Schizosaccharomyces pombe: one gene and its partner. Changing the gene in region 1 together with any one later gene gives a genetic interaction. Each region holds a gene or a part of one and is shown in the gene's direction. Other genes may lie near its edges. The genes, in order: sre1 and dsc5.

Region 1 (6,084 bases):
AAGACCACCAACGACAAGCCCGTTTTCTTCGTCTTCCACGGTGGTTCCGGTTCCTCTGTCAACGAGTTCCGTACTGGTATCAAGTGCGGTGTCGTCAAGGTCAACATTGACACTGATACCCAATTCGCCTACGTCGAGGGTGTCCGTGACTATGTCTTGAAGTACAAGGACTACCTTATGACCCCCGTCGGTAACCCCGAGGGAGCTGACAAGCCCAACAAGAAGAAGTTCGACCCTCGTGTCTGGATCCATGAGGGTGAGAAGACCATGACCAAGCGTGTTCTTACCGCTCTTGAGGACTTCTACACTGTCAACACTCTCTAAATTTGTGGTTTTTGAAAGATGGAAATGATTGAATAGACGGTGGGCTTCATTAAAATTATATTTTTTTGTCCCCTTAATGAGAGTTCATACTGTTTTGAAATTACGTGTTTGAATATAGAGACATTGTTTTTTAAAATTACCATTGTAAAAGCATAAGAGATATTTGAAGTAAAGTAGGGCAAAGTAAGTTAAGAAATTTTTTTGGATTGGATTTGTAAAGTGTTTTTCAAGCATACTGTATATTGTTAAGATTTTTCTTTTTATCCTTTTATTCATCTTCCTTAATTGGTTAATGTGTTCTTAGGTATATAAATTTACAAAAAAAAAATTTCCGATTCCACATGACAATGAATGAATAAATAATATGTCCGTGCGTTTATTTGAATTTAATATATATCGTTTGGCAAATCTCGATGAGTAGCTTAAAACAACATAATCGCTTGAATTTCATGTGCTTTGTGTACACAGTGTGCATTGTTTAGTAGATCAACTTTTTCTTCTTTCATTGCAATGAGTACGGGCATTTTCCCTTTTCCTCCATATTTCACGAATCCATGTTTTTTTTAGATAACCCTTTCTCAATCAAAACTCAGCATGCTTCTTCAGACTTGACCACTTATATTGTCAGTACACTACTGCTCCTTAAAAGCTTACTCCAAGTCAAGACATCAAGGTTGGAGCAATCATTCTCTTCATGAGGTACTATGGCTGATTTTCTTGCTAGAGATTATCGCTCTCAAGGTGAGGCGGCGCATGAAATGCTGCCGACTTTCCTTATAGGAAAAATCTTGAGAGAACGCATAGTAGATTCTATTTACTGGAAAGAACAATGTTTTGGATTGAATGGTATGTGTTCTTCATTGACAGAAAAGGAAAGTGTTTTTACATATTAGAGTTCAAGTACGATTACTTTCCAAATCGATATTTTGAGTGATATAGCCTAAATGAACTTGATTTGGCAAGCAAAGAAACCAAGTATAGGTACTTGCTGTTTTAATCAGTCCTCAAACTGTTATTCCAAATTCACTGACTAATACATCTTAGCTTGTTCATTGGTGGATCGTGCAGTACGGCTTGAATATATAGGTGGTCAGTATGGAAATCAACGGCCCACCGAGTTTATCTGTTTGTTATACAAGCTTTTACAAATTGCACCTGAAAAAGAAATAATTCAACAGTACCTATCTATTCCTGAATTCAAGTATTTACGTGCCCTGGCTGCATTTTACGTTCGGCTTACATGGGATGATGTGGAAGTGCATCAAACGTTGGAACCGCTGTTAAGAGATTATCGGAAATTAAGAATTCGTACTAATTCTGAGATCCGATTAACATATCTGGATGAGGTTGTTGATGATTTGCTAAATGCCGAAGTAGTTTGCGATATTTCCCTGCCCCCATTGCGAAGTCGACTCCAACTTGAAGATTTGGACTTGCTTGAACCACTTTCATCTTCTTCAGACGAAGAAGATGATGATGAAGAACAAATTAGTAAATTGGAGAGCAATGAAGGTGCTGTAGATCGGAATATTTAAGGATAAGTAATATACAAAAAAAGAGTAAAGCGAAGCACGCATTTTGTGATGCGTCTACGATTTAACTTGGAATGACTCTACAAGGAAAAGTTATGGATTGAAATGGTTTTACACTTGAACTTATTAAAAAACAATTTATGAATAACAAACATCTAATCAAATAGATTTGTATATTAATATATATCGATTTCACATATTATCGCAAATACGCTATTTTTTCTTGTAAACAAATTTCGATAGACTTAGTTTACAGCACACTAAATATTTATAAAATGTCTTTGATACGCCACGGAATTTTTTTCACACCATACTTTAACGAATCACCCCATTCCGTCTATTTTCTTACGTTTCGTTAAAAACATGTCAGTCCACTTCTTTTTTGCTCACATATGAATTAACACGACTTTTCTCTTTCATCCATTACCATACTCGAGCAATCCTAACTTTGCTTATCGGGTGATCGATTTTAAATTTTTTTACTTATAGGACGTCCAGTAGCCTTTATAAGTTCATTGACAACAATTGGGTTGTTGCTGAGAGTTTGTTTACTGCGCTCGACTCTTGCTATAACCTAATCTTAAACGATTATCAAGCTGGATTTCCTTCTTGCTAAGAACATTATTTTATTTTACAACTCATTCAAGAAATTATTTTGCTATCTATCGCCTTGGATAGCTTTTAATGCGTCAAATTTTGGATAATTTGTAGCTCGATTAGAAAATTCGCTCAACATCCTATACAGTCACAGAGATAAAAAACCCTAAGAGTTAAATTCAATTTCTCTTTATTGTTGGATTTTTTAACTCGCTGTTAAATTCCGCTTGGTTCTAGCTGGAAATTTTGTTAAATATGCAAAGCTCAATTCCGTCAGTTTCCGTGTCGGTCGCTTCTCCTGCAATGGAAACTCCAACAAAAGCTTCGCCTGACAGCAAATCACCCAATTCAGTGGGTGCGATTCCTTCTTCATCCCCTTTGGCTTCATCGACAAAGGCTTCAACTTCTACTCCCTTTGTGGAGAATTGTTCCAATCTGTTGTGTGATTTGGCTAGCATTGTCGAGGACTCACCTCCAACCTTGACCAACACCTCGTTGTCTCCCCATTCGTTTTCCCTTTCTGATATGGAGTCATCAATGAGCAATTGGCTTAACCCTTTTGCGTTCGACAATACGATGAACTCGGCGCCTCCTCTGTTTACTTCGACCAACATGGGCTCCCCTAACTCGTTAGAAAACTCTACAAATCCTCTTCTCTCTAATTGCGGCTCTCCAAATTCATTTCAGAATGAGACCTTTACCGGCCCATCATTGAATGAGTTCGATGCCGATGATAAAATTCAGCGCCAAATGAAAATCCTTCACTCTGTTGATACAATCGATCCATCGACTGTTCAAAATTATCCTTCAGCTGATATGTCAAATCCAGAAGTCAAATTGAAAACCGAAGAAATTATTACACCCATGGACACCACTTGCAAGCCTGAACCTTCTGCCAAGAAAATAAAGTTGTCTCCTTCCTCGGAAGATTCTTGCTCAATTCCTGAAACATTACCTTTTTCGGCCCCCAAGTCTAGAGGCTCATTATCTCCTTCTGAAACCCCAGATTTTGTAGCCGGTCCTGGAGGAAAACCAAAGAAGACAGCTCATAACATGATTGAGAAGAGATACAGAACCAACTTGAACGACCGAATTTGTGAATTGCGTGATGCAGTTCCTTCACTTCGTGCTGCTGCTGCACTTCGTTGTGGTAATTCTCTGGACGATGAGGATTTGGGGGGTTTGACACCCGCTCGTAAGCTTAACAAGGGTACAATATTGGCAAAAGCAACTGAGTATATCAGACATTTGGAGGCCAAGAATAAGGAACTACAGAAGACTAACAAGCAGCTTTCAGATAGGCTGGCTTTCTACGAAGATCCTTCGATGGCTCCTCCTTCTAACGATACTCGAGCCGTTAACTCTGTTAATGTTGTTTCCTCATCTGACTATTCTGTTCACCAATCTTCTCGACCAAACCTAACCCAAAGAGCTTTTACTTCCCCAACCCTAAATACCATGGGCCGCACAGCACTAAATGGCATGGTTGGACTTGGTCTATTCAATTATTTTGGAAACGATTCTTCTCAATCTGTTTATGGTTTATTCGCTCTTCCACCTTTTCTTATGTCTCCATTCACAGGTACTGTTCTCTTTAACATGCTGAAAATTGGTGTTGTTTTACTCGGTTTATTCTATCTTTTGCACGATAACTCTCTTTTCAAAGGCTTCAAGGGTGAAAAGAAATCTAAAGTTAGTACCAGATCTTCCATGTCACCATCCTCAATCTTATTCCGAAAAACCGTATTCGAAAAGTATTGTTTATTGGACCATTCTACTTCGACTATTTCTCTATTTTTTGGATTACTGATCTTCACTCTTAAATCTGCTTATGGCTATTTGACTCATCGTTTGAGTGCTCTTTATACCTCCTCTGAGAATTGGGTTTATAGTGAGCAACAACTTGCTGAAGTTCGCAACATGGAAAAGCTTTTGGATGCCCAATTAATGGGTGGTGATGCTAAAGTTGACCGTTTGAGGCTCTTAATGGTATTTGCCAGTTCATTTTCTCTTCCTCCTTCAAGTCATACTTGTGCTTTACAAGCAATGTATTGCCAACTAATTTTTTCCAACACCTCTGTCCCATCCGCTATCGTTTCGAAGTGCGTTGCTTTCTTCTGGAATGCTGCAAAGAAACAACATAGCAAAAGTTCTGTACACGCGGAGTTACGTGAGCTTCCTGAGTGTACTGCTAACCTAATTGAAAACTCCCACGCTGACGACGTTTTCTCTCCGAATATGGTTGAGCGATTGTGGGTTCTAGCAAAGTGCACCCGTGACTCTGCTCAAATGTCAGATAGTATTATTAGCTCCTTATCTGATGTTTTGGTTTTATCTCCTCTAGAGGTGCTTGCCTCATGGTATGCCGCTGATTTGTTGGATGCCCTTTTGATGGAAAGTTTGAGCCGTAAAGTTGAGATATCCGAGATTGAGGAAATTATTTCCCTTTGTCCTAAGAACTCCTCTATTATTCGTCATGCTTTACTAGCTAAATTGGTTTTGTTCCCCGAGAATACAGCTGATTCTTTGAATGAAGTCCTTGCAGCATACAAGAACACTTTGGATTTATGCAGCCAAGATAAACGCAAGCAGTCAAGCGTGTTAAAGATCAACTTATCCAAGCTATTCACACTCCACTCATGCCTATCATTAGCACTCCAACGCCTTGGATACGGGGATGTTTCTAAACGTATGTATCAGGAAATCTTTGTACCTGATAGTGATGCAGACATTACACCTTTATCTTTTATTATTTCCTGGACCGCTTTGAACACTTTTGCTCCTATTTGCACATCTCCAAAGGAAAACGATGTCGTTGAAAAGATGGCCATGTACGTGCGGACGGCCATCGGAACTTTGAAAATTCAAGATTTGAAATTATCTCGTAAGTTAATCAACTCTTGCATAGATATTGGATCTCGCTTACAAGAAGATTTGGGTTATGTTTCATCAGCTTAAATTGTCGATTCTCGAGCTTTGAGAACAGTTAGTATACAACGCTCATCTATTGCAACTACCTTATTATTTTCCATGATTGTTATTTCATCAGTTATTTTGCGTATCATTTTTTAGTTTTAATTATTCTTTTAATAAATTACAGTTGTCGTCGGTAAGAGCAGTGATAAAAATATGCAATTAGAGTTATTTTGTTGTATCAAGCTAGCACAATTCACCATTTGAGTATATTTGGTGATTAAATAAAATGAATAGAGTACAATTTGAGGCATGCTAAGGTTCATCGAACTAACTATTTTTTTAAATAATGACACATTGGCAAGATTAAAAAATTGGATTCTTCTCTTGCAGTTAACTCTCTGCTGTTGATGAAGATGTGTTGAATCTTAGACTGCTGATATCCATTTTATACCAATTGTATAAAAAAAAGAATGTCAATTATTAATAAAATGGAAATGCATAAGATAGATAAGAGTGGTCTGAAGTTTTACGGTACAGTACGTAGTTCCGTCCTTACTGAAATCTCGGGAGTAATACGAACCATTCACCAAAGGTAAACAAACTACCAAATTGTTTTTATGTATTATTTACTACTATATTGGTTAACTTATTCTGAATCCTACAACCTAAAATAAAAATAAATAGACTCGCTTTTATTATTTGTCGATTCAAGAAC
Region 2 (4,927 bases), on another chromosome or scaffold:
CCCTATGAATTCCTCCGTTAAAACTTCTCACCAGCGGAATTCGATGAAGGTTGATGTTAACAGTATAGACTCAATAGCAACATTATACGAAAAATCATAATAAATTGTGAATAACCTTTTATTAATTGAGCGAATAAACATAGAGTAAATTTAATTAAGATTAATAATTATAACTAATTTTGAAGAAATTATTATAAAGAAAATAAATACATTGAACATCAACACATCCCCTTCAATTCATATACAAAGTGCATTTCTCGATTTTAGGACTAACTTGAAACACAACGCACAAACATTTCCACAACTTGATCTTTGGTTTTGGCGTGAAGGTTGTTAGTGCTAAGCTATACATTACTCCTTATACTTCATCGGTAGCAGGCATGGAGTGCATTTGATAAGCTTGATTGTTGGATGATGATGGACTGAAAACATTACCAGCCGCATCATACGAGGTACCATCAAAATTTATTGGAGGTGACCTATTTTTCGATTTGTCGGGTCTATTTGTATCGCCCTGCGTTGTTGTACCCGCTGAAGACTCACTAGCTGCATCCCAACTAATAGTTGGCTGCGATGTAGAATACGACGGAGGAGGAGCCAAGCTTCCAACCGCAGGAGCGAGTCTCCATTTCTTGATGTTTGCTTCAATAAATACATATCCTGCTTGTCCAAGATTGACATGTAAGGTACAAGGTCCAATTGCACCAACCGTAGGATACAAATTTCGATATGTACACGGCAGTTCTGCACACCGACGACCGTTACGTGTAAAGAAGATCCGATTGCACTTCGGTTTGTAACCAACACCAATTACATCTCCCTGCTGGTAGAAAGAGGAGTACGGTTTTCCCGTAAATGGTGAATTACTGCGGCGTGTTCCATCCGACACATAAGCAGTAGACCAAAAATTCCAACCAGGCAATCGAAACGGCGGATATGGCTTGGTAGCCAGACCGATGGAAACCAAGGTATCAATAGGTACGTCTAAAAGTTTTACTTCAAAATAGTATACTTCATTGATCCTCTGCAAAGGCAAATTGGTTTGCATGCAACATTCTTCGTTGCCCAAAAAAGACAATTCAGTTTTATTTTTAACATAGCAATTATATTCCTGATTTGGGATAAAGTGCCATGCTAATACGCCCTTCTCTTGAACTTGTAGGAAGTCAAGCAGCTTTGCATCCGTGTTGACGTTAGATTTCATGGAATTCAACTCAAACTCACGAGCTTGTAAATACCGTTCTTTCCCCATATCATCCAATAAACTAAATCCTTCTTCATCAATATGTTCATTCTCTAACGCTTCGTCGTCCAACTCACCAGGATTGGTGTTTTTCAGCAAGATCCGTCCATGTCGTGTGTATCGCAGTAATAAGATGACTGACAAAAGACAGATTAAAAGAACAATGACAGCGGCTAATGCAATAAATATGAAAAGGATTGCTAAATTAGGATGGGTGTTTGAAGATTCCTGTAATCTCAACTGGCGAATCTGATCGGGATGCATGACTCAAAGACGCAAAAAATAATTTTTTATATAAGATTTGAAAAAGGAAAATCTGCGAGTGTATATTTAATAGAGAAATAAATAACTGAGAGTAAAATCCTAGCTATAAGAGGATATAGTATAGGGTTAAGAGAAAAAGGATTTTTCTCTCAGATATGCAGTTTATTAAGCACGAGATACAATATTTAAATCTAACGTAGATGCAAGTATCTCAAATATTGCACTAATATGGTTTTTGCGAATGCTCAAGGATTGGGCGAAATGGTATACTTGTTTCAAGTTTACAGGAGAAAATACAAACTCCTTTAAATAAATAAGATATAATTCTTAAGATAAAAAAGAATTTATTCCTGAAGGAGCCACAATGGCCTGTTGTAAGGTAAAATCGAAAATCAGCGGCAATTTACCAGATAATACTGCTCCGTCACAATTATGCTTATAAGTTTTCTGTTTTTACAACCATAGATTGGAATTAACCAAATTTTTATTCGAAAATTTACTTTGATTCGTTCAATGTTTGCTTCCGGATTTCAGATGGTAATGGGAAAAGGAAGGTTACGAAGCACCACGTAAAGGCCACATGGATACTACTCCGTCCATTAACCAACAACACCTACCATGTCAGGGTCTCGAAAACAAGAAGCAATAGACGAATTAAGGAACTCTCTTGATGTTCCTGCTGATACTGCTCAATCTGTTTTGGAATCATTTAATTGGGACGTTCAGGTATGTGACACGGCAAGCATTCATTTTCAGTATTCGATAGTGATCAATTGCTTTGATTGAAAAATTCCAAGAAAGTTGTTATTTGCAACTGAACATTCATGGAATCCTCTGGTTGTCGTTTATTTTTCTAATCGAATTTTCGGTGAATGTTGGGACTGAGCCATTTTGCTAACTGTTTTATGATTAGGAAGCGATCGAGAGTTTAACTGGAGAATCGTCAAGAGTCGATAGAAATTCAAAGCTTGGATTAAGTTTCGGCGTCTTTCAATCTGTTTTTTCTTTGCTATTCAGTGGGTTGCACAAACTATGGATGATTTTGTCAAGGGTTCCTCTGATTTCAACATTTATCCCCATTTTTGGTACTACTAAGCGTGTCCTTTCTCCTGCAGACACTGCGAACAAGCTGGTTCAGAATTTAGAAGAGCAATACGGTACTGAGCATATTGATTTTTTTACTGATGGCGGCTACATGGAAGCGTTGACACGTATTAAGCGTAATTATGGAGTCGCATTGCTTTTCTTTACTAGCTCAAAGAATGATGACTCTGAGACGTTTTCCAGGAGTGTTCTTATGAACCAAGAGCTAAAGGAATTTTTAAATCGTCGAAACATTCTTTGCTGGACTGGTGATGTTTGTGAGGATGAGGCTTTCCGAGGTTCTCGTCAATTCCACTGCACTAAATTTCCCTCCGCAGTCCTTGTTATGTATTCACCTCAGCTATCTGAGCTTGTAGTTGCCGCCCAACTCCATGGATGTCTTGATAGTTCCAGCATCATTACCAATCTAACTAATGCTTTGGCTAAACATCTTCCTTCTCTTGAGCGTTTCCGTTCGGAGAGAGAAGCACGAGAAGCTGCTCGCGAGTTACGACGTCAACAAGACAATGCCTATCAAGCGTCCCTTGCCCGCGATCGCGAGCGTCAAGCTTTCGCGAGAGCAGAAGAAGAGCGTCTTGCAAAGGAGAAAGAAGAAAGAGAAATCGTTCAGAAAAAGAAAAAACAATATCGTGCTTGGCTTGCTTCTAATCTTCCACCGGAGCCATCATCTGAAGATGAACCTGCTCGTCTTTCGATCCGTTTTCCCGACGGATCTCGGGCTGTTCGAAGGTTTAAGAAGGATGATACTGTTGAATCCGTTTACAACTATGTGGATTATATGCTTTTTGAAAAAGAGGAGCCTGAAGAATTCGGTCGCGCTACTTCATCTTCTAATCCGGTCACTCCACCAAGTGACTATAAGCATGATTTTCATTTTCAACTATATTCTTCTTTGCCCAGAGCTTTGCTGAAACCATCAGTGGCTATTTCTACTAACAAAGCCATCTTTCCAAATGGCACTGTGGTGGTGGAGCTGGATGATTGAAATTAACAAAATTGTTTGTCTTTTTAAATCATAATGACAATTTACGACTATCGACGTTTCGAATCCGTTTTTAAATACATTTCTAAGATTTGATGTATGATGAATTTATTTTCTCTTTTCTATTTCTACTACTGAATTAATTGTTGTTTATGGCATGAATGTCTACTGGACGCATTGACTTTTTATTTTGAGCAAACTTTCAATGCACCCTTTAATCTGAGTACATAGTCGATTTCCACTAGATTTTCTGTTCTTTGCCAAAAACCTTTTCTATGCATGTCATCTTCATCTCTGTTTTCTACGATTTTCTTTGCAATGGAGGACAAAGGCTAGTAATTTAGGCTTTGTAGCATAAAAGTTTTGCCAGCTTTCGTCTGTGATGAGTGAGGTATGTATTATGAACATAAATTTGTTTAAAATATAAATCTTTCTTTATTGCAATTCGAAAAAGTCTAGTGGCTTTGTTTCTAAACAGCTTAAATTTTACCTTTAAACTTTCATTAATGTTAAATTTTTATATAATTAATATACAAATTAGTGCATTAGATTCACTTTATGTCAAGCATTATGACCCCAAGCATGGAATTTCTCAACGTTTCTAACAAAATTGGAAAAGTAAAGCGGTGAAATTATTTCCTTTCAGACTGAGCAAGTTTATTTTACATTCCTTTCTGTAGCGTGTTTTATATTCCATTTACTGCTATGTCTTAAGTCATTCAAATTGAACCATATAAGGATACGTTCGATCACGTTACAATCATCGTAAAAAGGAGAATCGTCAAGTTGAACCTGTACTTTATTCTTTTCTGGGCAATAGCTGATAATTTACCTGGTTATTCTAGATACAAAGAATGTCCAGTCTTCAAAAACGCCCTGGCCCAGGTAACTCTAGTCAACCGACGTAAGTCTAGCAGGAACGAGCAGCATCATGAGTTTTGCTAACTTTCTTAAATAGTGAAAGACCAAGAAAAGAATCTATCCTTGATCTTTCTAGATATCAAGATCAACGAATTCAAGCCACGTTTACGGGGGGCCGACAAATTACCGGTATTCTAAAAGGATTCGATCAGTTGATGAACCTTGTACTTGACGATGTAGAGGAACAGCTTCGCAATCCTGAGGATGGTAAACTTACTGGAGCTATTAGAAAGTTAGGTCTTGTAGTCGTTCGTGGAACAACTTTAGTTTTGATTGCTCCCATGGATGGTTCTGAGGAGATACCGAATCCATTCGTCCAAGCTGAATAAAAAGCCACAAGCCCTTCATTTGATGTTTGACTATTGTTAATAAAATACTACAAGTTAATTATTATACCGCATGTGCATGTTTTG

The links.
Region 2: of sre1 (region 1) and dsc5, extra expression of one rescues a mutant of the other (dosage rescue), as found in Schizosaccharomyces pombe (one study listed by BioGRID).

Annotation. Positions count from the first base shown.
Region 1 is NC_003423.3:1,689,120-1,695,203, forward strand, and holds sre1 (transcription factor Sre1), read left to right. Parts: upstream 1-2,274; 5' UTR 2,275-2,708; coding exon 2,709-5,411; 3' UTR 5,412-5,572; downstream 5,573-6,084. Other genes in the region: fructose-bisphosphate aldolase Fba1, read left to right, coding at 1-324; U4/U5/U6 small nuclear ribonucleoprotein complex subunit PRP38, read left to right, coding at 1,029-1,170, 1,369-1,859.
Region 2 is NC_003421.2:1,813,977-1,818,903, forward strand, and holds dsc5 (UBA/UAS domain-containing protein), read left to right. Parts: upstream 1-2,108; 5' UTR 2,109-2,125; coding exon 2,126-2,233; exon of another isoform or gene 2,234-2,420; coding exon 2,421-3,596; 3' UTR 3,597-4,427; downstream 4,428-4,927. Other genes in the region: SPRY domain membrane protein, specificity factor required for ubiquitination Ear1, read right to left, coding at 359-1,507; U6 snRNP-associated protein Lsm7, read left to right, coding at 4,448-4,497, 4,552-4,843. UniProt on the Schizosaccharomyces pombe protein: Involved in protein degradation through the ubiquitin/proteasome pathway.